Linked DNA regions of Bombyx mori. The protein of the gene in region 1 purifies or fractionates together with the protein of each later gene. This does not show direct contact. Links are inferred from orthologs where the notes say so. Each region holds a gene or a part of one and is shown in the gene's direction. Other genes may lie near its edges.

The links.
Region 2: the proteins of Rybp (region 1) and DDB1- and CUL4-associated factor 7 purify together in Homo sapiens (affinity purification with mass spectrometry; 3 studies listed by BioGRID and IntAct, counting the BioPlex papers as one, with this or other methods). This does not show direct contact. The link is inferred for Bombyx mori from reciprocal best matches to the Homo sapiens genes YAF2 and DCAF7.

What each region holds. Positions count from the first base shown.
Region 1 is NC_085134.1:5,452,969-5,470,037, reverse strand, and holds Rybp (ring and YY1 binding protein), read left to right. Parts: upstream 1-7,756; 5' UTR 7,757-7,925; coding exon 7,926-8,061; intron 8,062-12,239; coding exon 12,240-12,418; intron 12,419-14,491; coding exon 14,492-14,596; 3' UTR 14,597-14,889; downstream 14,890-17,069. Other genes in the region: Or-11 (olfactory receptor 11), read left to right, coding at 482-578, 1,188-1,289, 1,745-1,833, 2,493-2,604. UniProt on the Homo sapiens protein: Binds to MYC and inhibits MYC-mediated transactivation. Also binds to MYCN and enhances MYCN-dependent transcriptional activation. Increases calpain 2-mediated proteolysis of YY1 in vitro.
Region 2 is NC_085118.1:1,104,187-1,121,288, reverse strand, and holds DDB1- and CUL4-associated factor 7, read left to right. Parts: upstream 1-7,944; 5' UTR 7,945-8,175; intron 8,176-8,338; 5' UTR 8,339-8,359; coding exon 8,360-8,421; intron 8,422-8,836; coding exon 8,837-8,939; intron 8,940-9,738; coding exon 9,739-9,874; intron 9,875-10,392; coding exon 10,393-10,643; intron 10,644-11,689; coding exon 11,690-11,815; intron 11,816-12,609; coding exon 12,610-12,791; intron 12,792-13,989; coding exon 13,990-14,188; 3' UTR 14,189-16,556; downstream 16,557-17,102. Other genes in the region: uncharacterized protein LOC134199889, read left to right, coding at 938-4,081; ATPase family gene 2 protein homolog A, read right to left, coding at 16,586-17,102. UniProt on the Homo sapiens protein: Involved in craniofacial development. Acts upstream of the EDN1 pathway and is required for formation of the upper jaw equivalent, the palatoquadrate. The activity required for EDN1 pathway function differs between the first and second arches.

The sequences.
Region 1 (17,069 bases):
CTGGTAGGACTAGTGTAAGCAAATTCTCTCAGGTTGAGCCCGTCCGCGCGTACCTACCTGGAATAGACCTTTACCAGCGGTAGGTAGTTAGGCAAATGCTCACGATTGACTTCCACGGTGAAGGAATAACATCGTGTAATAAAAATCAAACCCGCAAAATTATAATTTGCGTAATTACTGGTGGTAGGACCTCTTGTGAGTCCGCACGGGTAGGTACCGCCACCCCGCCTATTTCTGCCGTGAAGCAGTAATGCATTTCGGTTTGAAGGGTGGGATAGCCGTTGTAACTATACTGAAACCTTTAGAACTTATATCTCAAGGTCGGTGGCGCATTTACGTTGTAGATGTCTATGAGCTCCAGTAACCACTTAACATCAGGTGGGCTGTGAGCTCGTCCACCGATTTATGCAAAAAAAAAAGTGAGGGTTTTTTCTATAATTCACAGACAGGCGTAAATTAATAGTGACGTTTCATTTTGCAGATCGTCGAGTATTCTAGAAATGATTTACTCAAAGTCCACATTATCAAACTTTGTTTTGAGTTCTCTAGTTATTTGTCTGTCCGCATTCAATGTTACGGTAATTGTTTTTTTTTTTTTATTTTTTTATTATTATCTTATTTGTGTGAACAATAGACGATGATAGTAGTTAATCACTGCTTTTTAATTATGTCCTTGTTTCAATTTATTGGTGACCTATTGTTTGTTGCGTATTATTTTGCCCCATTCTTTTTTTTAAGTATAACAATTGGCTTCTTGCAATGCCTTTGTTAACAGTGTCGAGTTTTTAAGAATCTTCAAATATTAAATACATTATATTACATTATATGATGAGATGAAATTGATATATTTGAGGCTATCATAAATTGTGATTAACTTATTAGAATGAAATGAGATGAGATAGAATGAAATAAAGACTCAGTAAAATTATGGTTATTTACTGAGACTTCAGTGAACTTTTTGGAAGAATTGGAAGAATCGGAGAATTTTATTTTCCCACACTTGTGAACTTTTACATATGTTAAAGGGCCAAGAACATCAACAATTTACACAGCTCGCTTCTAGTGTTCCCGCCAAAAAATCCTCGCATACCCTGTTTTGCATTACCTATAGTTTTCTTTGATTAGCACCAAAAAAATTGAGCAAAGGGATCTAAATCATAAAGTCCAATTGTTTGCTCACATTACAGGTAGTGAACGACGTAACTATTGTAATGACATATCTTATATTTCTGGCCATGAGTTTAATGCAAGTATATTTCCTCTGCTTCTTCGATATGCTGATGAGCGCAGTAAGTTTCTATAATTTATTGTTTTCAAATTCATTACTATAAGAGGCAATGTTATGACTTGTATCTACAATATTTTATTAGAATTTCGCGATTCTAAACAAAAAAAAATTTTACGGTTTAATCTCGGGTTTATTATTTAAGACTTTTCGAATACTCTACCTACAGTTTTGGTAGTCAAGGCGACAGTAGTCGAGACGCGATGAGATGAAACCATAAAAATAGTTTTAATTATTTGTTTTATCCTTTGTCTGGTGATGTGACGTCATTAATTTCTGGTGCCGGTCACGTCACGTGGAGATCTAGCCAGCACTTGATAGTTGATTCTCTTGATCTCTCTCCTTCCACTACGAGCACTTAAAATGTTTGTTTCGGTATTTTCTACGATAGAATAGTGGTGGGATTATACGAATCTATCGATACCCAAATTCGGGCGTTACATTATTACCTAATTTCAGAGCGAAGAGGTCGGTAATGCCGTATACAATTGCAGTTGGTACACCGAAAAAGCGTCAACGGGAAAAGATTTGCTTTTCACCATCACGAGGTCAGTGACGCTTCATGATAAACCTTTCTCCGGTAAAGCTGTAGGGAACAACATTGCTAAGTAGACCGAAGCACCGAAAGTTGTTGTTTGAATATAACATGCCAGCTTGTAAATGCAGTTTGTGCGATTCAGGTTTTTGTTCAAAAAGTTCCATTCGATTCTATCGCAAGAAACGGTAATAGAAAATATAGGTAATATTGTGAAGTGGGGGTACCCTAAAGATACTTGGACGGACTGTGTGAAAGAGTGAGTGCGAGAGAAGAATCTCAGTGCAGAGATGACGTATGATAGGTCGAATGGAAAAACAGGAGATTCTGCGCCCAACCCACATAGTGGTATAAGCGCAATTTTTTTTATCTTACCTATGCTGATAGCCTTGAGGCTATTTCAGCTTCACCCTAACGTGTAGGTGAGCTCACGGGGCTCAAACCGGGAGTGTTGCTAACACTGGACCTAGCAAGAGCAGTGCTTCGCAGAATCTACCACCGAATCGGAAACGCGACCCAGAAGATCCGGCGAGAAACTCAGTGGGCTATGTCTGTGGGTTGATTTACTCGTCGAGCCCTTCGTCGCAAGCGACGGGTTCGGCGAGAATGATAACCAGTCCGCACTTCACGAAAAAAAAACATTGCAATTTTTTTTTATATTTTTCACCGCAGGGCCCAGAAACCTTGTGAGCTGACGGCTGCTCATTTCGCTTACGTCAATTTAAAGGCGTTTATGAGGGTAAGTTTTACGTCAGCATCAATAACCACACTTCCAACAATATAAATAGAAACAATCTTAGAGTTCTTAGAGACTTAGCTTAGAGACAGTTTCATTTTTAAACAAAGCGCTTAAGTTAGTAGTAGGTACTAAAATTAGATGCTATATTTATTTATTTGTATTATAGCTTTATATACTAGACAGTATAAAGGCGGACTTAATGTCATAGGCATTCCCTGACTGTCTACCTTATATAATATATTGTTGACAACCATAATTTAATCAAATAACTCTATTAATAAGTTTCACCACAGAGCCAAAACATCCTCTCCGTTTTTTTTTTTTAATACCTTTAAAAAGTATTTGAGGTAATTTATTAAACATTAATAATTACTCTTATTCTCGTTTCCAACACTATATAAATTTATACAATAAAATTTTGCAATAAAATCATTTTTTCTTACACTATTTTTAATTCAAATTTATTCAAATTTATTTTCTCGTTTTTAGTCGGGCTTTCTATAGAAGCGTAATTTTTTAGTTTTTTAAAAATATGATTTATTTTTTTAGTTGAATTTCAATTTTTTCAATATATATTTTTTTAATATTGAATTGTCATCGGTCCTTAATAAGTATGCCAACAATTTCGAGTTAGTCCGAAGGGGGTCAAAATCATGTTCAAAGATTCCGTTACATACATACTAACATACATACGTCTGTAGCTAATAAAAGCGTATTCAAAATAGGTTGACTGACTCGGTAATGCAGTAGTTAAGCGCACCTGACTGTTGGGCCGATGGTCGTGGGTTCGATTCCTACATGGGGCAAACTTTGTGTGATGAACAATTTTATTTGCTCTTTGCTTAGGTGTTTGGTATCCATATGTCTATATATTTAAAAATATATATGTATTTTTATCAGTTTCTCGTACCTATAACACAGGGAATCCGATTTAAGGCCAGATGACCGCGCGTGATTTATTCTTGGTTATTAAAAAAAAACAATTAAATTTAAATTTATGTCTTTAGCGAATTCGCGCAAAACCGAAGAAAATGTCACTCACCTCACATATTATTAAGGTTAAGTAATTGGATTTGATTTCTTTTCAGGTCTTAAGCACTGCCTGGTCTTACTTCGCCTTACTACAAACTATATACAGTCGTTGACTAGCTACGTTTTTTACTGAAATAATAAGAAACTTTAATGTTTTAATGCGTTTGCTAAGATATTATTTAGTAACATTGCACGCAATTTAAGTAGACGCGACGAAATGCGTTTTGGGGTCGTTGCACTTTTGACATTTTAGAGAATTTTATTATTTTGTATTTTATTTTACAATTTAAACATTCTAGATTGTTCGTGTTAATGAATAATATATTACAAAATTATTCGAATGCATTTGAGATACGAATTCTGAGCAAAGATCACTCACATTTTGTGATTCGTTTAATTATTTTAGACTGACTCTTTAACTTTTTTAAATTAAATTATTACTAAATACAAAAAAACCGCAAAAGAGCAGCAGACATTAGATCTACAACAAAGGTGGAAGACGTACTAAAGAAAATAAGAGTTAAAATGGCGATGGGCAGGACATATGACAAGGGAAAGCAGAATGAAATTGACTAAAATTATAACAAAATGGCTGCCACGCGATGGCAAACGAAAAAGAGGTAGGAAAGCTAGAAGCTGGACAGGCTATATCAAGATGATTGGAGGGACATACTGGTTCAGAAAAGCTACCAATAGAGAAGAATGGAAGCAGCTGGAAGGGACCTATGTGTCACAGGATACGCTGATCACTGAACCGGGAAACCCGATGTATTAGATTTAAGTTAAAACAATTTGCTACTGTATGTAAAATCATTGTTTATATATCAGCAATAAAGGCTATACAAAAAATACAAACACAAAAAAGATATAGCAAAAGGAACTCCCTTCTAATCGGGTCTCCATATTAAGACACCTCTTTCTTTCTTTTTTAACAGTCGGAGATGTATATATATATATAATATATAAATATAAATATAAATTCGCAGAATTTACCAGCGGATCGGAAACGCGACCCACTGAGAAGATCCGGCGAGAAACTCAGTGGGCTTGAACACAGCAAGTTGCACTATAGAGTATGAAGGTTTCCAGTGAAGAGTGCTAGATAAAATTTGTGTATAAAAATCCAAAACTATATATTTTTTTATTGCTCAGATGGGTGGACGAGCTCACAGTCGACCTGGTGTTAAGTGGTCACTGGAGCCCATAGACATCTACAACGCAAATGCGCCACCCAGATTGAGATATAAGTTCTGAAATCTCAGTATAGTTAGAACGGCTGCCCACCCTTCAAACCGAAACGCATTACTGCTTCACGGCAGAAATAGGCGGGGTGGTGGTCCTACCCGTGCGGAATCACAAGAGGTCCTACCACCAGTAAACTAGCTTTGAAACTTCTTACTTTGTTTGGGTCAACATATCGAGGGGTGAAAGGTGGCATAAGCGACATTTTTTCAAATTCATAGGAGAGCCATTTAATGTTTAAAACTCGACAAAAATATCATAACAAAAAGACGACAAAAATATCATAACAAAAAAAACTTCTTCGCCTATTTGAATGGGGTAAACTTAATTGAATTTCAGTTTAAAAAATCGAACTGTTGATGCTTAGAACAAATATAACGCACCTTTAATTGAAGTCATGAGGATGAAGGGGGTTAAGTAGCATTTTTAAGATTTTAAGACTCCGTACTTAAAGGCTATTTTTCGAAATTGCATGCGATGAAGGAGTTATGTACCTACGAAGAAAAAGTACAAGTAAACGAGGATTGTGGAGAATACTTAACGGTAGGCAGCGGCTTGGCTCTGCCCCTGGTATTGCTGAAGTCCATGGGCGACAGTAACCACTCACCATCAGGTGGGCCGTATGATCCTCTGCTTACAAGGGCAATAAAAATAAATACAACCTGATGGTTTTTCGGAAGATATCGCTTTTAGCCCATTGTACTTTTTCGTATTTAAAATGTTGTGTTTTTATTTATTTTGATGTAGATACAATAAAAATCATACTCTCTCTCTCTCTCTCTCTCTCTCTCTCTCTCTCTCTCTCTCTCTCTCTCTCTCTCTCTCTCTCTCCCTCTCTCTCTCTCTCTCTCTCTCTCCGAATTAATAAAAGAGATTTAGCAATAAAACACCCGTTATAATTTGCGTTCTGATTACATGAGTATGTGAGCTTATAAAGTGTTGCTACTCATTCCAATCTAGACCTTAGTTAAGTTATAATTAAAACTACTTTTACGGTGCAAGCACGCGTTAGTTATTTTTATTTTATTACTTCCGACGTTTCGCATACTTTACAGCCCCGTGATCTCGGACGACTGCGAAAATAAACCCGAGATTAAATCTTAAAAACAGTTTTAATTTTACCCGCGAAAACCTTAGAAATCGCTTAGTTAAGACTGTTCTCCTTCGGCGAATATATCTATTTAATATTATCAATATTATCGTCCATAATTATTAATAAAATATTTTGTATCTCAGGAATGTGGACAAGACAGGATCATAATAACAAATTTGCATTATTATTTTTGCTATTATTTTGGCCTAACCGTTGTCACGCAATAACAATTTTTATGTGTCGTGTTTGCTTTATTTCTAAAATCAAGAATAATAATTAACTAATTTATCAGCTTTGTTGATTTGTATTAATTTATGATGACTAAGGCAATTGTGCAGTGTAGGATAGTGATTGTTGGAATTCATATTATGATGTCTGATGAAGGTCTAATAAAAGACCGAAACGTTGCAAATATAATAATGTAATTTGTTATTATGATCCTATCTTGCCCACATTCCTGAGATACAAACTATTTTATATTTATTTAATTGTACTAGAGGTCCCGCAGTAGTCGAAATTCGACTATAATTAATTGGAATTGTAAGTTTGTACACTATTATAATTGTATTTTATCCTTCTATCATCACAAATTTCGCCAAGACTACACTAAAAAAAATATTAACAAAGACAAACAATGTTTAATCTATTCTCAATTTGACAACAGACGTCAAGAACAAAAGCTTGATAATAAATAGTATGCATGCGTGTGTGCGTTAAATACATGGTATGTAGTGTGTGTAATGTTTTCCTTATTGATTTAATTAATGTATATTTTATGCATTATTTAAAAAAAATATTAGCATTGTGCACTTCTCTATATTCTCTTTAAGTGTGGAAATTTTCAACGCCTCCGTCCGCGCAATTTTCGTAAAAAGGAATATTTATTGGTCAAGGAAAGCCAGGCTGAAATTAGATTCGTATTAGAAAAAAAAAAAACAATAAATTCAAAGTTAGAATTAAACGTTCGTTTTAAATTGATAATTTTCGTGAAAAGATCCAAGATTTTTGAACCACGCGTATTTCGCTTCAAGTAGAAAAAAATGAAAGGACTTCTTTCGTAAAACTCAGGTAGAGATTTTATTTCTATCGCCGTCACAAAAAAGGGGTCGTTTTCTAAGAAACGGCATAGAAATATTTCTCAAAGGCTTACCGTGCTTCATAGTTTTTGTTTAAACGATTTTAAGCTTTAAAATAACCAGTATAAGACACATAATTGAATTTCTGCGTTTAAGTATCGGTACCTATTTAAAAATGTACACAATTTTGTTGACTGATATTTGGGTTCAGTGGTTTAGTGTTGGTGTGTCATTTGGAATAGATATTTCGAATTTTAAAACGTTTGGAGTTCTTGACCTTTACTTAATGTAGCGGCCCTTTTGTGGCTGGTCAAAGACTTGTGCTATCAGCTAATTCTTTTTGGTTCCAAAGTAATGAATGACTAGATAAGACTAGGTTCATAGACCTTATACTAAGAAGATCCACCTCCCGCCTCAACAATCCACGGAAAGAATAATATTATTATGGTAACGTTTGCGTTATTATTTAATTTTATCAACTAGTTCACCACCATTCTGCCTGTCTTTGCCGCAAAATAGCCCTTTTGAATTTTGGGACCAATAATAAAATGACCATATCCGCATTCGGTCTTCTATTAAGCCCAACCAACAATATACTTATGTACTTTATTCGCTGTTTATTATTATGTTTGAATTTTATTCTAAGAAAAATTTATAAATCTTAATTCATGAATAACGCCATCTAGTATTGCTATTTTGTAGCTAAAACAGCTCAGAAGAATGTGGCGCCTTCACGCTGTTTAACCGACGTAACATTGACGGCTGTCATGGCGTAAAAGTGTACAATCTTTGTGCACAGTAAAACAAAAATAATGATTTCCCGACGCATTAATTCACAATTGTGCATTAGAAATAATAGTTTTCAATCAAAAATATCATGATAGACGTGTCTTAGCTACGTTTAGTTGCGTGTATGCATTAAAATGGACAAGAAAAATGCCATTAGAAGAGCCAAAAGGCCATCAAAAGTGCTGGAAGAAAACTACTGGGATTGTAGTGTTTGCACGTACAGGAATAACGCGGAAGCTTTCAAATGTTCCATGTGTGACGTTAGAAAAGGTAAATACTGTAACTGAACGCCAATATTTTTCATATATGTAAATTCTGCACACGAATTTGACCTAAATGATCTAATTCACGCACACAGAGCCACGTATCTTAACACGATGATTGTTTCAATGAGCTTTTTATTAATTAACTACGTAACCTTTTCATATAATAAAACGCTCAGAACTGCAGACATTTAAGTATAAAAGGGCATTCACATTACGTATTCAAATTCTAACCTAAAACCTAAACCAAGGACGAAAATTATTGATTAGTCTAGGGCGACGTTACGAATAAGAGCGAATAAGTATGAGATTCATATAAGAATAAAATCTCGACGTATCAAACATTGATTACGAGTTAAAGTTCCGCAATAAAAGTACGGAAAGAAGTAATCATAGTATTTCTACACCGAAGTCAGTAAGTAGTAGAATATAATTTTTTTTTTAAATTGGTAACCAAAAACTTCACTATAGCGGTGCATTTTTCTACCGGCTGCTTCTCTAGTAGACCTTCAAGACGGTTTCCTATAATGTTCTTGTATCAAAATAGGCAAAGCATCAAACACGAATTACCTAGATGACCTGACTTAGATTTTTTCGTTTTCTGTACATACAAAGTAGAAAGGTTTGTGTTTTTGTATATCAAAATAGTACATAACACTGGACAAAAAAAAAATCTTAACTGAAAAGTATAATGGCTGTTTCTAATTACAACAAGCAATCTTGAGTATACCATGAGATGGACATGAACCACCATATATACATAACTGCTATTAAAATATTCCATCATATTTGGCATTTTGCATAACTTTAAGTGTATGATGTTAGACATCAGTATTATACTAATTTTGTTGGCAAAGCACTCATTTGTTATGGTATGAAGAGCTTACCGTTATTCAAATAAGTACTTAATGAGCGAGGACATTCATGTTGTGATCTCAATATTATTGCATAGTCCAGAAAAAAAAAAAAATGTACATACATATTGACGCTTGAAAGGCGAAAGTGACTAAGCGACAATAACTGATTTGTACATAACAAAATATATATTTCTAGGTCTATTAAAACCTATTTCAATCCTACAGCTACTAGCTAGATTCTACTACAGCTAGATTCGTTAAAATAAATTTTGTTTTCAGGTATTCCAACTTTCAATTAGTCTACTGTACAGTTCACACATTGTCACTTAGTCATGTTTGCCTTTCAAGCGTCGATATGCTCTCTGGAAAACAACTGATGTTCTATTTTGGAAACATATATTTACTAACCTATATAAATTATCTCTTATTATATAGAAGTGATAAGGCTGCTCATTGCCACCACTTGTTTATTTCTATCATAATATACATGTTTCTTGTATGTATAAGATATACTTTCTGTGTATGTTTACTACAAGGATTGCCCTATCAATGTGTGTCACTATCGATAAATATTGTCAATAACATGGGAATTTCCAGCATGTTGGTTTATAAACTTATAACACTGTATATGAATCGTCTATTATCAAAGGTGGCAATCTGTGCATTTGGACAAAAATTTTTATTGGTATGTCAATACAGATTGATTTGAATATAATCGTCTCCTTCAAAGAATACGGTTCAAAACCTGCATTAAATAAAGGTTAATAGTTAACCTGTTATTTATCTAAGATGTCGTTCCGAAGAGTTTTGTGACTGCCAATGGAATACAAAGTCAATAATTCGTTTTTCTGATTTACCAATCATTGTCCAAAAGTCAGATTGCCGGCTTTGATAATAGTCGACTCATATATAAGATTAATTTATTCTTTCTACCCATTTTCATTATTGGCACATTCTTACAGGACAACTGATGGTAAATGGTTACTGTGTTGCTCACAGAATTCTGTAATGTCAAATGTGCAATTAAAGTAACTTGTACTTCTGAGGACACTTTTCAAATACTTGTTTGAAGAAGGACATGTTATAGTGGTCTCTTGAAACAAACTGAAGAAAATTAATTGAAAAATGAGAGACCATTTGGAAAATTGTTTTTTTTAAATCTGGCGTTAAGGAATTAGTTTGTTTTGGTACGAAGGTAGCTGAGTGAGGTAATTTTTGCAATGGGTCCGAATATTTCATAGTTTTTATGGTAATAGACAAGTGAGGTTTGAATAATGAGCTATTTACTGGTAAGTAGTAGGACCTCTTGTGAGTCCGCACGGGTAGGTACCACCACCCTGCCTATTTCTGCCGTGAAGCAGTAATGCGTTTCGGTTTGTATAGTGCGGCAGCCATTGTAATTATACTGAGACCTTAGAACTCATATCTCAAGGTGGGTGGCGCATTTACGTTGTAAATATCTATGGGCTCCGATAATCACTTAACATTAGGTGGATGGTGAGTTCGTCCACCCATCTAAGCAATAAAAAAAAATTTTTTTTTTCAATTAAATTATTTTGGAAATTTTGAAATTCCTAATCGTAAACATAGTCCTACTGACTCTCGACGACTCTTGTTGACTCGTACGTGATTACCACGGTAACTGTAAAAAGTATTAGAAACGTTGAAAATAATAAACGCGAGATCGAACGGTAAAAGTAGCTCTAAATTATATCTGTGACTCGCGAAAATCGAAGAGAAACCTACGTTTTCTATACATAGTACATAGGGTCGCCACGCGTACTTTATAATAAAGTATTGTACGTTTTTTCAGGTAATTGTACTCTATACTTTATTTGAAAAATAAAGTATATTTGAAAAATAAAGTATACGGAAAGATTTTATTTGTTAAAAGTTTTAGTCATAATATGTATTTTTTCGTTAGGCGAAATACGTCGTTTTTTTAACAATTAAATCTGAACGCAACTTAACCTCAAATGTCAACAATGTCACTGTCATTAATTGTCACAATTTCGTGTTTAATTTTATCAATTGTAATAAAAAATATGTATTTAAACATAATAATAATAAATACATTTTACCTCGATACTGCACGCATTGTGAGGAGGTTTCTCACTCTGGAGTCCTAACCACTGGTGGCTTGTGTCGTAGACACCGCCATCAGCGGCAATCTACTTTTATATAGTGTTTTTTAAATTTAATTTATAAAATCTTTTAAAAAAAATATGATGTAATTAATAAAAGATTTTAAATAAATTGTACTTTATTTTCATATTATGTACATTTTTTCCTACCCATAATAGCCGATGTACTTTATCTGCAAAAAAAGGTGGCAACCCTAATAGTGCAGGTTGAGAATTTCAAAAGCCCTTAACGGAGGGTACATTCATTAATTCCGCTGTGCCTCCGGGAGCCGTGTACTAAGCTCCTCGCAGTTTCTAAAATCGTATTTACGACCTTATGTTCTGTAGTTGAATTTCAACGGTTACCCACTAAAGGATGTTTGTTAGACGTTTTAAATTAGTTTGTTTGAAAACTATTGATTCAGAATCGTATCGGCCATTGTTTTTGTATTGTCTGTGGTTGTCGCGACCGGCAGGCATAATTAAAATAACTTTTGAGGTTTAATCACGTGTTTACTAAAGAACAAACAGTATCTGGAGGCCTGGTAGCTTGTTTTCTGTGTGAATGGAAAAAAAATAAAAGTCGAGTCATTTTCTTTTATTATAGACAAATAGACGGTAGTTCTCAAAATATTCAAATCTCAACGAATAACCCCTTAGCTTTTTTTTTATTGCCCTTTTAAGCAGACGAGCACACGGCCCAACTGAAGGTGACTGATTAACGTCGCCCATGGACGTCAACAATGACAGGGGCATTGTCGTAAATGACCACTATTTTACTGAGATTATATTTCATCGCATTTCATTTCATTTCTATCATTTTTCATATAAAAAAGTTTACTGGTGGTAGGACCTTTAGTGAGCCCGCACGGCTAGGTACCTCCACCCTGCCTATTTCTGCCGTGAAGCAGTCATGCTTTTCGGTTTGAAGGGCGGAGCAGCCGTAGTAACTATACTGAGAACTTATATCTCAAGGTTGGTGGCGCATGTATGTTGTACATGTCTATGGGTTCCAGTAACCACTTAACATTAGGTGGGCTGTGAGCTCGTCCACCCATATAAGAAATAAAAAAATCATTAAAATTAAAATAAGACTTGACCTTAAAGGTCTTGTTTACCAGGTCAGAAAATTTCTTAAAAAAAAATAATTCACAAGCGCTTCAGCGGCAAACGAATCATTTAACGCAGGTGACGTTTCCGCTAAGGTACATCGACCCGCAAGCCTCGGCTCAACCCCGCTCTGGTGGCCGCGCAAGCGTCCGGCACGGCGCCCACGGGCAGCTCGGTCCAGAAGCGGCCTCGTTCGGCGAACTCGTTCAAGAAGAAACGACGCCACCCGCCGAGACTCAACAACGTGGACCGCAGCTCGGCCCAAACCAGAGAGGTACGAATTACAAAATTCGAATGTTTAGGATATCTACATAGGCGGCACTGAAAATTTCGGGAATTAACGAAGGGACACAACATTATATTTAAAAATGTATTTATCGCTTTTCGAAGTATTCTCCGCGAAATTTGACACATATTACCATACGATGGAACCAATCATTGTAGCAACCATTCCATTCGGAAGTTGGGGTCTCCAAAATGGCCGTTTTGTAGGCGTCCACAGCTTCTTCAGGTGATAAAAATCTCTGTCCACACAATTTATTCTTTATTTTAGGGAAAGTATAGAAATCATTAGGGCTTAGGTCGGGGCTGTACGGCGGATGGTCTAATAATTCTATGTTTTCTCTCTAAAAACTCTTTTGTTCTGTGCGCGGTGTGAGAACTCGCATTGTCGTGATGGAGGATGATGCGGCGGTTGCAGTTCTCTTTACGGAGTTCAGAAACGACCTGTGGCAAACAAATGCTAGCATACCATTCTGCATAAACCGTTCTTTGTCCCTCAAGAGGAATAGTCGTAACATGGCCGGTTTTAGAGACAAACGTGGCCACCATTTTTTTTGCAACACTCCGTGAACGAACAATTTTTGTTGGCTTTAACTCATTTTCCAACACCAAAACTCGTGACTGGTTTTTTGTTTCGGGTTCGTACGCGTATATCCAGGATTCGTCACCTGATACAATGTTGTATACAGTATTTGAGGATCCTGCGTGGAATCTTTCGAGAGTTCTGACGCACCAAGTAACGCGAGCCGCTTTTTGCTCTTCACAGAGCGAATGCGGTATCCATCGGGAAGACAACTTTTTTACACCTAATTGTTCATGCAAGATTATTTGTATTTGACTCATGCCAATGTCTAAAGTTGCCTGAATTTCGCGGTATGTCACATGTCGATCTTCCTCAATCAACTTACGCACAGCATCAACGTTTTCTTGGGTGACTGCAGTTTTTGGACGACCTTGACGGGGATCATCACTGAGCTTGACACGTCCACGTTGAAACTCAGCAAACCAGCGATAAATTATGGTTTAGGATGGGGCTTCATCACCAAATGCAGAAATCATCCGGTCAACACACTGTTTTTGTGTTAAACCACTTCGAAAGTCATAATAAATCATCGCTCTTGAATTTTCTCGAGTCAATTCCATTTTCTCAACGACTAAACAAGTTTTACAAAACCTCGTGACAAAACCGAGAATCTTTTTTTAAATAAATAAATGGTATTCGATTTTTAAAATCAAGGAGTTTTCAATTAAAAAGATTTTAATATGACAGGAACAGTGGAAATATTCCATTCCCGATACTTTTAGTGCAGCCCTCGTATATCGTCTTCTCGCATTAAAACTTTACTAGCGGTCGCCCGGCAGTCGAAATTCGACTATAATTAATTGAAATTATAAGCTTGTATACTTTTTATGATTACATTTTATACTTCTATAATCACAAATTTCGCCAAGGCTACACTAAATTTTTTTTACACATTACACACTACCATATATTTGACACACACACATATATATGGACCGTTTATTTTGAAGTGGTGTAAGTCTATTTTTGAGAAAAATGAGCTATCACGTAATTCATGCTTAATTTAATGTAAATTTTTTGTCCGTGTTTAATTTCTCAAAAAATCCCATGTTTTTTACAACTTAAAATCGGTCGGTAAATGAAATTGCATAATCATCGATTATGAAAGTGGTGTAAGTCCAATTGACAGAGGTAGACGGCATAGCCAGACCTCAATAATATGATTTGCCTGTATTTTTAAATCAACAAATATAGTAACCTTTAATTTTCTCGAAACAAAAGAAAATGGACTTACACCACTTTCAAAATAAACGGTCCATATATATAAACAACTTTACTGCTTCGACCTAATATCGTTACCAAAATAACCAGGCTTAAAGAATATAATATATATTTTAATGACCTGTTTCTGCTGCGAAGCATCCATACGGCCACCCCGTCTACACAACAATGAAATAAACTATCTGTATAGTGACGTCATAAGTTAGTAAGTAATAGCCGGGACAGTAGCGGCGTTGTTTGACTGAAATATTCTCTTCTTAGGTAACAGTGAGTGGCGTTACCGTTGTCATAACCGAATACAAACCGAAGAAATCGGTTTCCAGCAGCTCGAGTGACGTTGAATCTTCAAACGACGCGCGACCTTGATCTCCAGAGCACACCCGATCCCGCTCCAGCATAACAAAGCTCTCAACACGATACCTTACCGGTGGTAGGACCTCTTGTGAGTCCGCACGGGCAGGTACCACCACCCCGCCTATTTCTGCCGTGAAGCAGTAATGCGTTTCGGCTTGAAGGATGGGGCAATCGTTGTAACTATACTGAGAGCTTAGAACTTATATCTCAAGGTGGGTGGCGGCATTTACGTTGTAAATGTCTATAAGCTCCAGTAACTACTTAAAAACCATGTGGGCTGTGAGCTCGTCCACCCATCTAAGCAATAAAAAAAACGGCGATAACTTTAGTACGGGATCAGTGCACTAAGCGTCATTACTGCTTCTCGAACTTTTGGACTACATAAGATAATTAAGTTGCGTTTTAAAGTTACAATTGTACTTAATGTGGCAGTATTGTGTCGTTTTAACTTTTTTCCTAACCTAAACGTAATAAATACGTTATTTTGAAAGCGTAAAGGTATTGCTGTTGTTTAAATTGACCGCGATGTTGTTTACTTTTTTATATAGGGGGTTTTATGAGCTGGTAACTGAGACCTTTGAGTCATGTCTTATTTTAATTTATGTTCTAATTTTTATGAAAAATGATAATATGGAGTGAAATGAAGTGAAGATGATTAATTTGAGACATTAATCAACTGGGATGAAATTAAATGAAATGAGATAAGATGATATGGGATGAAAGGTAATCTCAGTAAAATGGTGGTCATTTACTGAGATTTTTTCATTAGGACTTTTTGGAGGATCCCGGGAAGTTACGTCCAGCGGCTTTGTTTCATTTTCCCACATTTGTGCACTTTCACAGATATTAAACAGTTAATAAATACCGTTATTAAACATTTAAACCTGAAGAAACACTAAATAGACAAAATAAAACAAATCACACAACTTCACTCCTCGCGTCCCCGCCAAAAAGTCCCGATGTCGTTTACGGAAATATATACATAGTTTAGACATAGGCTAGCTCTCCGCTCGCATCTACGGCAGTGAGAACAGGCTTGTTTTGACGTAACTTCGTCATTTTGTTAAAGTATTTACAAATCACATGCATAAGTCTTCTTCATTTGTCGGTTGGTCAAGATGGTATCAAAATTTGCGCGTCTTAGAAGTGAGCGGGAGACAGACCGAAACATGCCTTGTATTTCTTTTATACTATTCAGAGAAGATATCGACGCTTGAAAGGCAAACGTGACTAAGCGACAATGCGTGAACTTTACAATAGACTAATTTATAGCTGAAATACATGAAAAAAAATCTATTTTAACGAATCTAGCTGTAGTAGAATCTAGCTAGTAGCTGTAGGATTGAAATGATTTTAATAGACCCAGAACTATATTTTTTTTTTGCGCATCGAATATGGTTATTGCTTATCATTTATGTACAAAGCAGTTATCGTCGCTTAGTCACGTTTGCCTTTCAAGCGTCGATATGTACAATTTAGAGCAATAGGAATGGGAGAATTCAATTTGTTGGAAACTGAAAACACTAAAGTGTACAGCGCTGAGACTAAAACGGAAGGTTCTTTTGTATTCGCTTTACTGTAGTTGAAATTTAGATTTAGACTGACCTAGTTATATTTTATCTATAAAATCTAGTACTACTGTTGACAGTCCAAGTGCATGATCTTGAACATGGCATTCGAATTGTTCGGCATGGGCGACGTTAACCAGCGATCATGCAGTATGATCGTCTGTATACCTAAGTAAATGTAAAAGTTATGATATATAAGCTAATGATTTTTTTATTTATTCCTTAATTTATTTATTTATTATAAAAAGTGATTTTTTAACATCACACTTATCGAATCGGAATTAATTTTAATTTATATTTATTTGCTGTTCAATAATTAAATTATATTGTTTTTAATGACGTTTGTAACTGAGCTTTACGCACCTAATGCCATTTAAATTGTTTCAATAAATTATTCTAGTTTATTGCTTGTGTGTAAATTTAGTATATTGTATATATATATATAAATTTGAAAGAAATAAATTGAGACCAGCGGGTCACTGCCAGGAATGTAAATATGAATTGGTAACCATAGTAGAAAAAAAATATGTAAGTAACTAATTGGTAATAATGCTTTTCTTTTAAGAAATGCTGAAATATAAACATTATAATGTAGTTTTTTTTAAAAACAAATTTTGTATGTGTAATTTATTTATAACATATAATGAAACAGAAGTGTTTGTACATTGAAGATATTGTATGTGGTATATTATGTTGATAAATTTCATCGATTTCTTTGCTCGTATGTTGGTCCTCTATATTTGTTATTACGAAACACCATTGATCCTCTTATAATGAAGCTATTTGTGTTGAAAGCTAGTTGATAAGATTTAAAATTGTTACGATGGGAACCGAAGGTATAGAAAAGTTTCGCTTATAATTATCATTAATTTGTCGATTAAAAAAACCAACAAACTTGACCGTGGACTAATTAATGT
Region 2 (17,102 bases), on another chromosome or scaffold:
TCCTACAAAAAAATTACTTCCTTACGTCATAATCGATTCACCCATATCGGAAATCCCACTTTCTTTACTCATTGATTCAGGTTCAGCAATCTGTTTATTAAAATACTCTTGCTTCCAAAATTTCCCCAAACTTATAGAAGAACAAATAACTTTAAAGGGTATCGAACCAGAAGTGAACACTACAAAGACAATGGGTCATTTCACATTAAAAATGAAACTAAATAGTTCATCCCATGACTCAATAAATCACAAATTCCACGTCATAGACAAGATTCATCTGCCTTATGACGGCATCATCGGATCAGATATGCTGAATCATTTCGGCTGCATGATTGACTATACTAAAAATCAACTTAAATTAAATAAAACATATTTACCACTCCGTTTTAATGAACCAACTTATACTATACCTGCTAGATCAGAAATGATAATCGAATGTTCCGTTTCAAACCCTGAAGTTAAACAAGGTCTTGTATTAGATCAAACTCAATTAAAGGATATCCTAATCGCAAATTGCCTAGTTAAAGTAAAAGAAAACAAACGAATAAACTTAACTGTAGTAAATATCTCTGAGTCTCCTAAAACTCTAACTTCAAACCTCAACATAACTTTGATTCCACTAGAACCTTCTGTCTTACATTCAAAAGAAACTTCAGAACAATACTCAATAAATACCGTTCAAACCCAAAATACCTTCCAACGAACTAAAGAAGTCCTAAATCAACTTCGAGTATCACACCTAAATTTTGAAGAATCTAATTCTCTTTACCAAATATGCTCTGACTATTCAGACATCTTCCACTTACCTGGTGAACCATTGACATCAACTAACGTACTACGTCATAACATAAAAACCACAACCAATGATCCTATCCATGTAAAATCATACAGATTTCCCGAATGTCACAAACATGAAGTTCAAACTCAAATAGAGAAAATGCTTAAAGATGACATTATACAACCATCAATGTCTCCATGGTCTGCTCCTATTTGGGTAGTCCCGAAGAAACTTGATGCCTCCGGCCAGCGTAAATGGAGAGTTGTTATCGATTACAGGAAACTAAATGACATCACTATAGGTGACTCTTATCCTATCCCCAACATAAATGAAATTCTAGATCAACTCGGAAAATCAAAATATTTCTCCACGTTGGATCTTGCTTCTGGATTTCATCAGATCCAAATGTCTGCCGAAGATGCTCCTAAAACCGCTTTCAGTATTCCACAAGGGCATTTTGAATTTAAAAGAATGCCATTCGGACTCAAGAACGCACCATCAACGTTCCAGAGATTAATGAACTCTGTCCTCTCAGGTCTGCAAGGCACTCGCTGCTTTGTGTATCTTGATGACATTGTAATATACTCGTATGACCTTGACTCTCATATGAATAACCTCGAAAGTGTATTTAAACGTCTACGAGAATTCAATCTTAAGCTTCAACCCGATAAGTGCGAATTCCTTCGAAAGGAAGTCTCGTACCTTGGCCACCTGATCACTGATGAAGGAGTCAAACCTGACCCAGCTAAGATCCGAGCCGTATCTGAATTTCCAGTTCCTAAATGCCCGAAAGATGTAAAATCTTTCCTAGGGCTTATGTCTTACTACCGAAAGTTTATTCCAGAATTTTCAAAAACAGCTAAATCATTAACTTCCCTATTAAAGAAAGATACCACCTTCACTTGGAACAACGAACAACAACTCGCTTTTGAAACACTCAAAAATCGTCTAATTTCTCCTCCTCTCCTCATATATCCCGATTTTACTAAACCATTTACCCTCACCTGTGATGCCTCTAACTACGCAATTAGTGCTATCCTCTCGCAAGGAGATCCAAATAGAGATAAGCCAATCGCTTACGCATCCCGGACCCTAAACAAAAGTGAAATAAATTACAATGTTACAGAAAAAGAATTATTAGCAATTATGTATGGGTGCAAAACTTTTAGACCTTACCTATATGGTCAAAAATTCAAAATCATAACCGATCATAATCCACTTAAGTGGCTTTTTAACCACAAAGACCCCTCAAGCAAGATGCAAAGATGGAGATTGAAATTAGAAGAGTATGACTACGAAATAACCCATAAAAAAGGCAAATTAAATTCAGCTGCAGACGCACTATCCAGATACCCCGTCAACCCTGTCAGAAGCTTAAATAATATAAACTCTGACCCAATTCCCGTCTTACCTATTTCTGACCCTCTGATCTCTTCTCAACCTGTACCCGAACAAAATCCACATCACTCTAACACATCTAATAGTGAATCTCCTCTTGAAACACTTCCTCTAGACGGCTTACTTACGTCAAGTCCTTTTAACCCTGATGATTACAACTTACCTTCACTAGAACCCCTTCAAGATATCGATCTCCTACCAAACAGTCCGTTCAATCCTGAAAATGAAATAGATGACCGCAATCTTAATAACAATGATAACATAAATCCTCCGACTAACAGTACTCCCAACCCTATGATTGATGATGAAAACCTACCAAGAAATCCATCAATTAACCTTCCGAGTCCCGAACCAAATTGTGAATCCTATACAGACTTTCTGAAAACTTTATCAAATAATAACCATACTTACAATACTAAAATTTGCGAACATGCAAATTCATTACTATCAACCGATTCAAAAATCATAGTCATTCCAACATCCATCGACCTCGATGAAACTAATCCATACATTGAAGAAATCCTGAATAACCAAGAAAATATCTCTGAATTCCTTAATGAAGAAAGAACCTTACATTCATTCCTTAACCTGAATGTTAAAGATAAATCTTATTATTTTTTATTCACAAAAGTATATCATTTCGACACTCCTCAGTACCCTCAACTATTTAAATCCTTACAAAATCTCCGAAATCATTTACTTATAGAAAAGGACATTCCAGTGAATATTGCTATATCAGACTTTAATGATCCATTCTTTAAACCAACTTATTCTAAAATATATAACATTCTTGCTTTTTTATTCCACAACACAGATATTACAATTAAAATCTACAAAAACTCAGTAGTTTTTCCAGCCCCTAGCGAGATTTCAAAAATCCTTAAAGAAAATCATGACCTTCCCATCGCTGGTCATGTAGGCACATCACGAATGTATAATCGTATTAAAGAAAAATATCATTGGAAAAATATGAAATCAGACATTGAAAATTATGTGAAAAAGTGCATACAGTGTCAAACGAATAAGGCGCTAAGACAAATAAACAGGCAACCGATGCAGATAACCTCTAGTTCAACAGCCCCATTTCAACGCATCGCCTTAGACATCGTCGGACCATTACCAGAAACTGGTCAAGTTAAGCTTAAATATATATTAACATTGCAAGACGACCTAACAAAATACTCTACTGCCTACCCTATTAGTAATGCCTCAGCCGAAGAATGCTGCGAATGTCTCATACATTTTATATCTCTTTTCGGAATACCAAAAATAATATTAACAGACCAAGGTACAAACTTCACCGCCGACCTTTTTAAGAAAACTTGTGAATTCCTCAAAATCAAACAATTATGGTCTTCGCCCTACCATCCTCAAACACAAGGAGCCTTGGAAAGGAGCCATTCTACACTAAAAGAATATTTAAAATCATACGTTAACGAAAATCAAACCAACTGGCACAAATATGTTTACACCTATGTCCTAGCCTACAACACTAATGTACATACTACTACAAAATTCACACCCTACGAATTACTCTTCGGCCATAAACCCTATCTACCCGATTCTATTTACGATCCTAGTCCTAGTGGTACCTATCATGAATATGTTAAAATGCTAAATCATCGCCTCAAATTAACACGCGATAAAGCTTTAGAAAATATTCAGAAATCAAAAGAAAACTCCAAAACCTATTATGACCGAAGGTCTCGCCCTTCCACGTATAAAATCGGTGATATGGTATATCTAAAAAACCACTTACGTCTACGGAAAGCATTATCACCCTTATGGAAAGGACCATACAAAGTGGTAAAAATACATGGAAACCACACACTTTCCCTTCTCATAAATCGACGACACGTAAGACATCATTATGATGAAATTAAACATGCAGAAGTTGAAACCTAATAAGTATGATTGTGTAATTAATATGATTAATTATTTTATTAGTTTTATTTCCTCTCTAGTATAACTTAACTCAGTAGCCTTTAAGTTAAAAACATTTATCGTAAAACATAAATAATAATAAATACATTCTCTTACAGCCTGTCGGCACCATGTCAAGGCCTATCACGCACTCGAGAAATTACCAATATCGAACAAATTACGAAAAGCCCTGGCATTTACTTTAATCCCTCGGGATCTGTTAGGATAATTAGTGATTATTTACATGTATTAGTACCAATGGACATAGACTACATTAAACCCCATATAGATAACATTCAGACGGTTTTGCATTCAGCCAGATACTTCTGTACTAAAAACAATGTGGTTGACGACCTAGAGTGCGAGAATATGTTCATGCCCCTTTTATCTATGTTCAATGATATCTCAAGGGACTACCACGCCATTTCTCATCTTATCCAAAGTAAATCAAAGAGGTCTGCGTGGATTTCCGGCATCGGCACTATTCTTAAACATATAATAGGCACCATGGATGAGAATGATGCTATAAGGTATAATAAAGCCATTCAAATACTTAAAGATAATAATAGAAAAACTCTAGATTTGATAAAAGAAAATATCCTTATCTCCAAGTCGGCAATTATAACACTCAACGAATCCATAATTGAAATCAACACTAATGAACATAAATTAAACAAAATGATTGAAAACCTATCTTCCAGTATTAAAAACCTAACAAAGGCAAGTAATGCCTTGTTGTTTAAATCTACAATACATGACATGATAAATGTTATTCAATCAAATATGTTAAACTTGTCCTATAAACTAGAAGACATCATAAACTCAATTTTGTTTTCAAAAACCAATACGCTACATCCATCAGTCATAACACCCAAAGATTTGTATTATGACCTTGTTAACAATGTTAAATATCTACCTAGATATTCGGAATTAGCTGTAAGTTTAGAATTAGAAAACATATATGTACTTATAAATCTCTCGGAAATTATTACATGTATTTTAGAAAATAAGCTTATATTTAGTCTTAAAATTCCTCTAGTACTCATTGATACTTATACTTTGTATAAGACAGTACCTATACCAGTACCCCATAATGTAACATCCAAATCTTTTGCACTAATACTACCTACATGTTCTTATGTGGCCTTAAATCAGAGAAAATCGAAGTATCTTAAACTCGATAATCTTTCTAAATGTAAATCTATTAATAAGGAAACTCATATTTGTAAACAATTAGATGAAATAGATATACAAGACTACCCCATCTGTGAAACAGAAATAATGACAAAAGTCTTGAAATCACTTCCGAAACAGTGTAAAACTAAATTTTTATACGGCCATGCCAACATATGGCAATCCTTAAATAATAATAGATGGGTCTTCACACTATCTGAACCCACTAAACTCAACATTGAGTGCACAGACGAAACTACCGAATATATAGTTTCAGGAACAGGCATATTATCCCTGAAACCAAACTGCACTGGATTCTGCAAAAACATAAAATTAATAAGTAAAAGTTATCCTGAATATAAATTCAGTCACATACACTCAGAATTCAATTTAGTAAACGATACATGTTGTAACCCAGCAGTGTTTGAAAATTATAATTATACCGAATCTATTACAGGACTGCATAACTTAGAATCGAATAATTTAGACCAAATAATCAACAAAGCTGATAACATGCTACAAACCTTAAAACATTTAAAATCTCAGAACGAATCTATTTCGATAAGCACTCCCCATTCCATTGTCACATACTTATTTGTAATACTATTTGTTATTTTTATATGTTATTATTTTTGTCATAGAAAGTGCGTGGCTTTTGTGCGTAAATCTAAACCAAACGAAAACACGACGCAAATAAACACACCCCCACAAGAAAATATTCAACTAAATACCCAACCGCGAATAAGAATCCATTAAACTTTATATTAAAATAATCATCGAAAACTTCGGAAAGCCGTAAGTTTTCGCTTAAAGGGGGAGCTGTTATAATATTAACTAGTATATTAATTAATTTACCTAAGACCGAAAAGTGCCTCTAGCAGCACTTTCCGGCCTAACATATACTAGAGCCCCGTTGGCTCGATGTCAGTCACTCTGCGTCGTTACTATGAGCCACACTCTTTCTAAGTAGAATTTTGTATCTTCAAAGTGAATAAAATCTTTTTTAAAAAGAGTTTTTCAAAGTCCCGTATAACAGAGCGCATTCCATTACGCTAACCCGACCTTACGAATTCAGCGCATGAACGCCATTACTTCGGTTAAGGACGAGTCACGCTTTCTTTGTTACCACACTGGCCACTGCATTAGGGACCAGTTACATAATAGTTTACCAGCGTAATAAATAATAATAATAATAATATAGCATCCATTATGGATTTGGTTCGGATAGCATTTGCTGATTTCCGAACTTGGAATGATATTAATGATACAATAGACTTAACTTTGTATACCTAAGTGGCCGACATTCTAAACCCGTAGAATACGGATAACGGATACAGAACTATCCGTTACTTTAACAATTCCTGAAATTTGATCAGCATCGATGGAAGGTGTAATTAACTCACGTGGATCATTATGGGACAAAGCAGTCATAATATGTTATATTTTAACTGTTTTGTTTCTTTATTTTAAAATTTAGTTTTAGTTTATTACAGATTTAGGCTATAAAAAATTAATTGGGGCCTTCGTTTTCATTTTTGAAGATTGTTATCATGTAATCACGTTCCGTTTTCTATTGCATCTGGTTTCTAGTTACCACGAAATGGGGAACACACAACTCAGGCGAGCAGACAGACGCTCTTCGAAACGTCATGGCATTCGAACAAAGCGCCTAATAAAAAGTTTTACATTGCCAGTGTACTTTATTGCTATTAATTAAATTCGGGCACTTTAAGTATCTATAATAATCTTTAACATAGTTATGAGTTAAAAAGTTATACAAACTAATAAGTCTGTCCTTAATTTTTAATTAAGAAACTGAGACTGCCCAGGTATCTAGGCAATAAAAAAATATTATACACAATAATAGAAAACGTAAGAAATTTAGAACCTTTTTACCTACGATATCAGATCAGGAATATGGAAATTCGCAGGAAAACCGTAATAACTGACATAGCCGAAGGAATTGTGAGATTGAAGTGGGCAGAGCATTGCTCGTAGAACAGATGGCCACTATGGCTGAAACGCTTTCGAGTGGCGACTGTGTAAAGATGTAGCTTGGGTGGAGCTCCCACAAGGCAGACCAGCTACCTGTTAAATATAGCGGGAATCCGCCGAATGCAGACAGTGTAGGACCGGTCGTTGTGTCGAGGCTTTGGGGGGGCCTTTGTTCAACAGTGGACATCTGTGGATATTGTCGTTTATTTAACTTTCTATACATAGCCTGGTTTTACTACTCATTCAGTTTCGAATAGGTAGCTTACTCATTATTGAATTTTTACCAGGCATATGTCTTCAAATCCAATTTCGTCTTATTGCAGCCAATTTAATTTATTTTTAAATTATTTCATTTTCATTCATAAAATAATTTTCATTACACTTTTTTAACAACTAACAGAGATTCGACATATACTAAAGTAGGGACCCGCCCTTGCTTCAGAAACTGTAATTGATTATTGATTTCTCCACTATTTAATGGATGTTATTATACATATAAACCTTCCTCTTCAATCTCTATCTATTAAAAAAAGCGCATCAAAATCCGTTGCGTAGTTTTAAAGATTTAAGTATACATAGGGATATAGGGACAGAGAAAGCGACTTTGTTTTATACTATGTAGTGATGAGGTTTACTCGCAGATGCTAAATTCCCGTTGCCTAGTCAAAAAACGAAACGAAAAAAAATTAAAATGTCAGATTGTCCTACTTGCCAGTTGTCAAATTTTGTAAAAATAATGCTTCATGCTTGTTTTCTCCACACAAAACTAAGTTTTTAGTTAATTTCCAATTATAAAATACATTAATTGAAGGTACAGAAGCTCATGGACAGTTCAATATTTAAATAGGTATATTTAAATCAAACATAACAAAGCCGCTTGGTGGCCATTCTGTGATATTACGGCAAAGGTACATAAAATATATATTTTTTGTAAATTTAAAACCATATGTAAAAATCTAAAAAATATAACTTGAAAGGTATGAAAACTTACGTACTTGAAAGACAAAAAAAATAAAAAAGTCACTATTCATTAAAATTTCATATAAATATCATTTTGATTTGTGTTTTCAGAAACATTAAACATTATCAGTGATGTCGATGCCACACAGCAGTTCGAGTACCAGTTCAGGCACGAAACGTAAAGAAATATACAAGTAAGTAACGTTACAACACAATATGAACTATAAATAACAGATTGGAAATAATTGACAGTATAAAATACAGAGTTGACCCAATTTTGAGATTGCTAATTATAATTAGGTATAGCGTGTTATTTATTTCTGTACCCATTCCTATGTTTCGAAACATTTGTAATACAATCAAGCAGGCATTATGGGACTTACTAATTTAATGCTTTAGATGTTTTGAAATATACAGATAATCCTTTCACAATTCCCGAAAAGAACTAAAGTGATGTTAACAAATTGCAAAAACAGCCTTATCTTGATAATTACGTACGAAATTTGAGTTGTTCATACAGTTAGGTTAAATTCTCATAAACGAAGTTGTGATAAAAAAAAAACACTATAAGCTAGACAGCTGCATTTCTATGTCACACATCTTTTACAGATACCAAGCGCCATGGCCATTATACTCAATGAATTGGTCTGTCAGACCTGACAAGAGATTCAGGTTAGCCCTGGGCAGTTTTGTTGAGGAATACAACAATAAAGTAAGCTTTTACAGAGCAGTTATTATATTAATTTAGTAATTTACAAAACATACCAACAGGATTAAGTAAATACAGTATAAAGGCCCAGATAATGAATCATGCAAAGCTAATGCAATTTTAGGGAAGTCAATTTGTCAAAAATTTCCCACTCATTGAATTATAAAAGATAGAGGTGTGTGCCTTATAATCTATAAATGCATAATATTACCAAAGAAAATACACAATAAATTACATATTTTTGTTGTTGTTCATTTTTCAGTAGTTGACAGAATTGGTAGGAGCACTTAGTTTGTGGAGGCTGTTCTTATAGACCAAGTAGACAAATACAGCAAGAAAAAAAAAATTCTAAGTAATTATTGGTGCATAATATTACTTACTTAATTCCACCATTAAATTAGTAAAAACTCAACTACATACTACTAATTAGTTAATTGTTTAGCATAATATACAAACATATAGTAAGTAAACCAGGAGTTCCCAAGATATATAACCCACTTAGACACACAATAACTTGACCGCAAAGGTTTTAATTGGTGAGTATGTTGTATGAATAGGAAAAGAACTAGGGATAGGGTTTTTTAAATAATTTGGGTATGGGGTTTTGAGGTATCAGTTCATTTTAAAAAGGGGTCTGCCAAAAATTGTTTTATATTACCTAATATAAATGAATTTATTAGTTTTCACTACATTGAAGGATTTTTAGTGAAAACTAATATATTAATGGTTTCATTTAACACACATACTGTATTGTAGCATTCCTTGTGCATGACATAAGCTTAATAAAACTCTTAAATCCTAGGTACAAATAATTTCCCTTGATGAAGACACAAGTGAGTTCACTGCAAAAAGTACCTTTGATCACCCGTACCCGACCACCAAGATTATGTGGATACCTGATAGCAAGGGGGTGTATCCAGACTTGTTGGCAACTAGCGGTAAGACTTCGGTAGCAGTTTGTTAGCACTAAGATTACCATATTTAATATGGAGATAATGAGGCTTGAATTTACTTTTACACTGCTACATAGACAAAAACATATACTCCCAAAAATAATGCTTACAATATCATCTCTCTCTAGAGAAACAGTATTCATGATAGTCTTTGAGCTCCATAAACCACTGAATTGTACTTAACTGAGCCTGTCTATCTCCTTTGTCGTCATATCACTCTTGTCAGAGCGGTTGTGGTCGTCATTCAGCATCATTGCTGAGGGCAGATGTTATGCGCCTCACAAGCAATCGCTACTCCTCCCGGTTTGTGGTGAGCCTGGTACACTCATGCAAACAATAATAATCAATCTACATAAATAAAAATAAGTGATACCCTATGAGTACAATATGAATGATTGTGATGTTAATAGAGGCAACTTTCGTTGACATAAACAGTTTTGATAAATAATCAAATTCAAGTAAAACTATTCAATAAAATTTCACAATGGTGCCTTATGTTGCAGGTGATTATCTACGCATATGGCGTGCCGGAGAGCCGTACACATTATTCGAATGTGTCCTAAATAATAATAAGAATTCTGACTTCTGTGCTCCTCTTACATCCTTTGATTGGAACGAAGTGGATCCTAACCTCATTGGCACCAGTAGTATTGACACGACCTGCACCATCTGGGGCTTGGAGACTGGACAGGTCTTGGGCAGGGTCAATGAAGTGTCTGGGCACGTGAAGACTCAGTTGATCGCTCATGATAAGGTTTGTGATTTTTATTTAATAGAAGATCTTGTTAATTCATTTGTGTCCAAAATTTATGTTAATGATTATCTGAAGATTATTGGTGTCTTCAAAAAATTTTCGTTCTGCGAATCTAGTATAACCCCTCGAGGTTACAAGAATATGTTGAAAAAAAAATTTTTTCAAATCAATGTATTCAAATATGTTTAAATCACTTATTACAATTTTGACATGATACATATTTATCAAACTAAAGAATTGCAGGATTGAAATGGGCATGTTACATACGTGCCCGATTTCATAATGATCACATAACATTTTAAGTTTTAATGTAATCATAAGCATGTAGTGTGAAGTATATTCAAGGATGCTCACAACAGATACTAATAGAATTTTATTCTATTGGAGATTCCATTAAAAATCTATTAGCATACACAAAACTGGTGGTAGGACCTCTTGTGAGTCCGCACGGGTAGGTACCACCACCCTGTCTATTTCTGCCGTGAAGCAATAATGCGTTTCGGTTTGAAGGGTGGGACAGCCGTTGTAACTATACTGAGACCTTAGAACTCATATCTCTAGGTGGGTGGCGTTATTTACGTTGTAGATGTCTATGAACTCCGGTAACCTCTTAACACCAGGTGGGCCGTGAGCTGGTCCACCCATCTAAGCATTAAATAAATAATAATAAACAAAGCCGAACGTATACGCCCCTATCTGGTTTTATACACCTTGACATAATACAAGATGCACTCTGCGTGTACATCTTGCTAGACACTGTAAAGTGATGGTTACTTGAACAATAATTTGTCCTTGTCTAACTCGCCTTAGAGAAAGGTGGCTGAACAAAACTTTATATACATGTGGGGGTATACGAAAAAAAGGTTCGACGGTCCGAATGTGGTCGTTCGGAACCTGCATATAGGCAAGCTTATTAAGCTATAGCAAGCTTGAAAATGTCGTAAGCGAGATTCGGGCATCAGTCAAATATCTTGTGTCGTGTGATGGCTACCCGCCACATGCAACTTCTCGCGTACGGCAGCCCTAATGCCGGTGTTTGTGCGCAGGAAGTGTACGACATAGCGTTCAGTAGGGCCGGCGGGGGGCGAGATATGTTCGCTTCCGTGGGCGCCGACGGATCCGTCCGGATGTTCGACCTCAGGCATCTAGAACATTCCACCATCATTTATGAGGTAAGTACAGGAGGCAGTAAGCAGCGTCTTTCGGCGCTCGTGCATGGGCGCATACTATCATTATTTGGACATGTCTCCCGGCGAGTAAATGACTCCATAAAGCGCCTTATCGTTCAGGGCAAAGTAGAAGACACCAGACCGCGTGGAAAGTTGCACATGCGATAAACTGACCAGGTCAAGTCAGCTATTGGCGGCTGTTTGCCTGAGTGTACCAGGCTCACCACAAACCGGGAAGAGTGGCGATTCCTCGTGAGGCGCATAACATCTGCCCACAGCAATAATGCTGAATAACGACCACGATCGCTCTAACAAGAGTGATACGACAAAGATAAAGATTCAAGAGGCCTGCGGCACGAATGACTAACACAATGAAGGAATGCCGCGTTAAGTCCGAGTTAGTTGACCATGTACTGTGGTAGTAAGACGTCTTGTGAATGTGCACGGATAGGTACCACCACCCTACCTATTCTTGTTGTACTGTGAAAAGTGAGGCCTTAGAACTCATGTCTCAAGGTGGGTGGTGGTATTAACTTTGTACACATCTATGGATTCCGGTTACCCCTTTAGCACTACGAGGGCCGTAAACAGCAAAGTAGAATCGGCAAAATTGCGGAATTTTCACTGTAGGTAGTAAGATCGATATCACAGATCTGCAGTATCGGGCTGCAAAACAGTCGTCTGTGAGGACCCGTGCAGTTTGCCTGTGAGCGCCACGAACTGGTCTGATCGTGTTTATGTTGAGAAGCTGCTGTCAACATAACAAGTCTTATGGCAGACTGTAATGTAACACGCAGGACCCTCAGCACACCCCGCTGCTCCGCCTGGCCTGGAACAAGCAGGACCCGAACTACCTGGCCACCATCGCCATGGACGCGTGCGAGGTGATCATACTGGACGTGCGCGTGCCCTGCACCCCGGTGGCCAGGCTCAACAACCACAGGGCGTGCGTCAACGGCATCGCCTGGGCGCCGCACAGGTTCGTAGGCCAGGTAGTAAAGTAGGAGCATCAAGGTTGCTAAACAAGCCCATCCGATATCTCCTCCTCTGGGACTGTGTTCCTCAGCGCATTATACGCAAAAGATAATTTGCGTAATGACTGGTGGTAGGACCTCTTGTGAGTCCGCACGGGTAAATACCACCGCCATGCCTATTTCTGCCGTGAAGCAGTAATACGTTTCGGTTTGAAGGGTGGGGCAGCTGTTGTAAGATAATGTAATACTGAGACCTTAGAACTCGTATCTCAAGGTGGGTGGCGTATTACGTTGTAGATGTCTATGGACTCCAGTAACCACTTAACAACCGGGTGGGGTGTGAGCTCGTCCACGCACCTAAGCAATAAAAAAAACAATGTTCTTGTCGTCAAGTTCTTAGAACTCTTCAAACTAGACTGTGCAGCCGAAAACACCAACTTTTGTTCTAATTCAGTCCGTAAGGTATGCTCCTTGTATTGTGAACGGACCACAATAATATAAATAATAGTTTAAAAAAAACAAAAGAAACGCTTTTATAGAAAATCCAACTAAAAAATAGAAAACAAATTTTAATAAATTTGTTTTTGTTGTGTTTGTAAATGTGTTTTTTAAAATAAAATCATTTTTTTTACACTATTTTTAATTCAAATTTATTACAATTTATTTTATATTTTTTAGTTGGATTTTCTATAAAAACGTGTTTTTTTTTATAACTTTTTTTTAAACTATTTTTATTTTTCATTTTTTAGTTGAATTTAAAAAATTAAATTTTTTTTTTTAATATTAAAATGTCATCGATCCTTAATAAGTATGCCAAATTTCGAGTTAAACCGACGTTTTGAAGGGGGTCAAAATCACGTTCAAAGATTCCGATACAAACTAACATACATACGTCTCATAAAGCTTATTAATAAATAATAATTACAAAATTTTAACCCTCAGACACAGCCCACTGAGTTACTCGCCGGATCTTCTCAGTGGGTCGCGTTTCCGATCCGGTGGTAGATTCTGCGAAGCACGGCTCTTGCTAGGGTTCGTGTTAGCAACGTCGTCAGGTTTGAGCCCCGTGAGCTCACCTACTAGTTAAAGTTACGCTGAAATAGCCTCTCAAAGCTCTCAGCATAGGTAGAAAAAAAACAATTAGAATAGTATGAATTCTTTTGTGTTATTTCGGTTCGTTTTAAAGTGAAATTTTTAATTCAGTTCTTGTCACATCTGCACCGCCGGAGACGACCACCAGGCCCTCATCTGGGACATACAGCAGATGCCGCGCGCCATAGAGGACCCGATCCTCGCCTACACCGCCGCCGAGGGAGAGGTCAACCAGATCCAGTGGGGCGCCACACAACCCGACTGGATCGCCATCTGCTACAACCGGCACGCCGAGATACTGCGCGTCTGAATATATCCTGATTGTACAATCCGGTGTGCAGTCGTGTGGACTGTAACCCCTGAAGCCGGCGTGTAGTTTGACGGTAGACGACAGTCGGTTAAACAATATACATATAGTCCTTAGAATCGGACGGTCGCAACAGATGATCCTTCGAGCTTGATTGTTGGAACGGGTATTTTAGTTGCAACATTTCAATTATTTTATAACTAAGAATTCTAGAAATAGTTCCTGTTTTTATTCAACTTTAATTAATTGTGCTCCTTGTGCGTTTTAAGGTTGAGAGAAATTTAGCAATTAAACAAAAATTAAAGGAATTTAAATAACACACTGAATACAAAACCTTGAATACAAAAAAATTATTGGTGAACGTTGACAAACTTGTATGATTTAAATTGAATGAATGATATTATAATAATTTCAAAATTTCCACAAACATTTCTCGAACAGAGTCCCCCTAACTCGAAGGTGCATTCTTTACACTAATCTATTATTTATAAATGGTAATAAAAGTAAACGTGTCGTGCTCGCGGCTGACAATATCTTGTCAATCGCCAAGATAATGTTGAGCTTGACTCCGATACTTAGGTATACACATTGCACTAGACCCCGCACACAACTTCATTACATACAGATGACTTTTTGGCGGGAACGCGAGGAGTGAAATTGTGTGATTTGTTTTGTTTTGTCTTTTTAGTGTTTCTTCAGATTTAAAATGTGTAATAACTGCGGTTTGTTAACCGTTAAATATTTGTGAAAGTGCACAAATATAGGAAAATGAAGAAATTCAAATTTATTCAGATTGCAGTACGAGCGAGATGATCGTTATACAATACAACTGATACAACTGATACTTCGACTTCGTGGTTTAGGACGGGTGACGCTAATCACGACGTGATGTCTATGGGCTTTTATTGCCTTTGTAGGCAGACGAGCATACGGCCCACCTGATGGTAAGTCCTTACCGTCACTCATTGACGTCAGCAATGCCAGGGGCAGAGCCAAGCCGCTGCCTACCGTTAAGTACTCTCCACAAGCCTCGTTTGAAGAAGGACATGTAGCGCTCGGGAAATACCGTGGAGGGGAGCCCAATCCATAGTCGGATGGTACGTGGCAAAAATAATGTCTGGAAAAGCGCACTGTGGGTGACCGCAGTGGCTCCAGGTAGTATGGATGAACTCTACTCCGGTGGCGGGCGGGCGATGGTAAAAAAGAGATGTTGGTATCATCTCAAACAATTTCTCAGAGCACTCCCCATGGAATATAAGGTACATACTCTGATAACTACGCCGTGGGTGGCGCTGAGACGTGGGTCCGTCACTCCTACGCAATAAAAAACGTTTTTTTTACTTACAAAGGCTGCTACAGCACAGTGACTTATTTGGCATGATAATAAAAAAAAAGACTGAAATTAACTGTTTGTATTTTTCCTGTATTCCAATATTATAAAATTAAGGAATTTTGGAGTAAAATTTTTCAAACAAAAAATATTAGTTTATTGTTTGTGGTCTTAGTGGGATTTGGTTAAAAATGTAATCGAAAAAATATCGCATTTCTTTCAAATTCGAAAATTGTAAAGCTAACGATTACATTAGTAAACTCATTACAAGTAACTCGTAACAAACAAGATCTGCATTTAATACAAAATTCATCTTTGTGTGTTGTGTACAAAAAATAAATCGCTAATATAAAATAATATGTACTTTACGCATCTGTTTGCTTCATTTTATTCCTTTTCATTTATCTAAGTCTGTAAAGATATTTTTCTTTGTGTGTTGTCCTCCATTATATTATATACGATCGCCGTAAAAACTATGTGTGTACTTAGTGCGAGTTTTTTAACGTTTTCAATCGCGTAAAAGTTAACTCCAATTTGTATGGAGTTGGAACAGCGCCCCTAGTGGCAAACAAAGGGAAGTTTTGTCCAACTCCATACAATTTTCATTTAACTTGACTTGTAATGACGTTTGCGACATAGCGGCAACCTTCAGCCTTCGACAGAGGGCGCGCGTGGAGCTTCAACACTTAGGTATATTTTATGCATTTACCGGTGGTCACAACAATATGATAGAAAAATTTTCGCATTTCAGACAAGCAAATTTGTTGTTAATTTCGTTATAACAATGGAGCCTTAGTCGGCATTTGATAGTAATGACGAAACCAAGCCAGTATTTGTAATTAAAATAACAAAGAACCACTAGTTTATCTGTATTCATCAAATCAATATTATAAAAATGTTGACTTGTCAACTTATTATAACTTATGACTTATTCTGTAAAATATAAGGACTAGATTAAATTATTAATTTATATAAATACATAATTACTATACAAATAGTTTTGTTTTCTGATTAGTAAATATAAATGGTAAAATAAGATAAGGCACTTTCATTTCGTTTCACACAGATTTCTACCCGAGACAGAATTCTTCATAGACTTTCAGTAATGTATGAGGTGTTCTGGGTTTAAAGTTTCTTAAAACATCCTCGAAATAAGTCATAGTAACTTCTGCACAGTCGAGATCTTTTTCTAGAGCCCTCAAAGCAGCTTCCTGACATAATGCATTCAACTCGGCTCCAGAAAATCCCTCGGTTCTTGACGCTAAAGCATGAGGGTTAACATCGTCACCAATACTCATTGTTTGAAGCTTCAGTTCCAAGATCTGTAGTCTCGTCTCTATGTCCGGTAAAGGCACGTAGATCAATCGATCTAGTCTTCCAGGTCGAAGTAGTGCTCTATCCATCCTGTCCGGTCTGTTGGTAGCAGCTAAAATAGTCACAGAATTTAGAGGTACAACACCATCTAACTCAGTGAGGAGTTGTGCCAGCACTCGTTCATGCACACCGGCCTCCCCTGCACCCCTTTCACCGCCTATGGCATCCATCTCGTCAAAAAATATCACAGACGGTGCCACTTGGCGTGCTTTA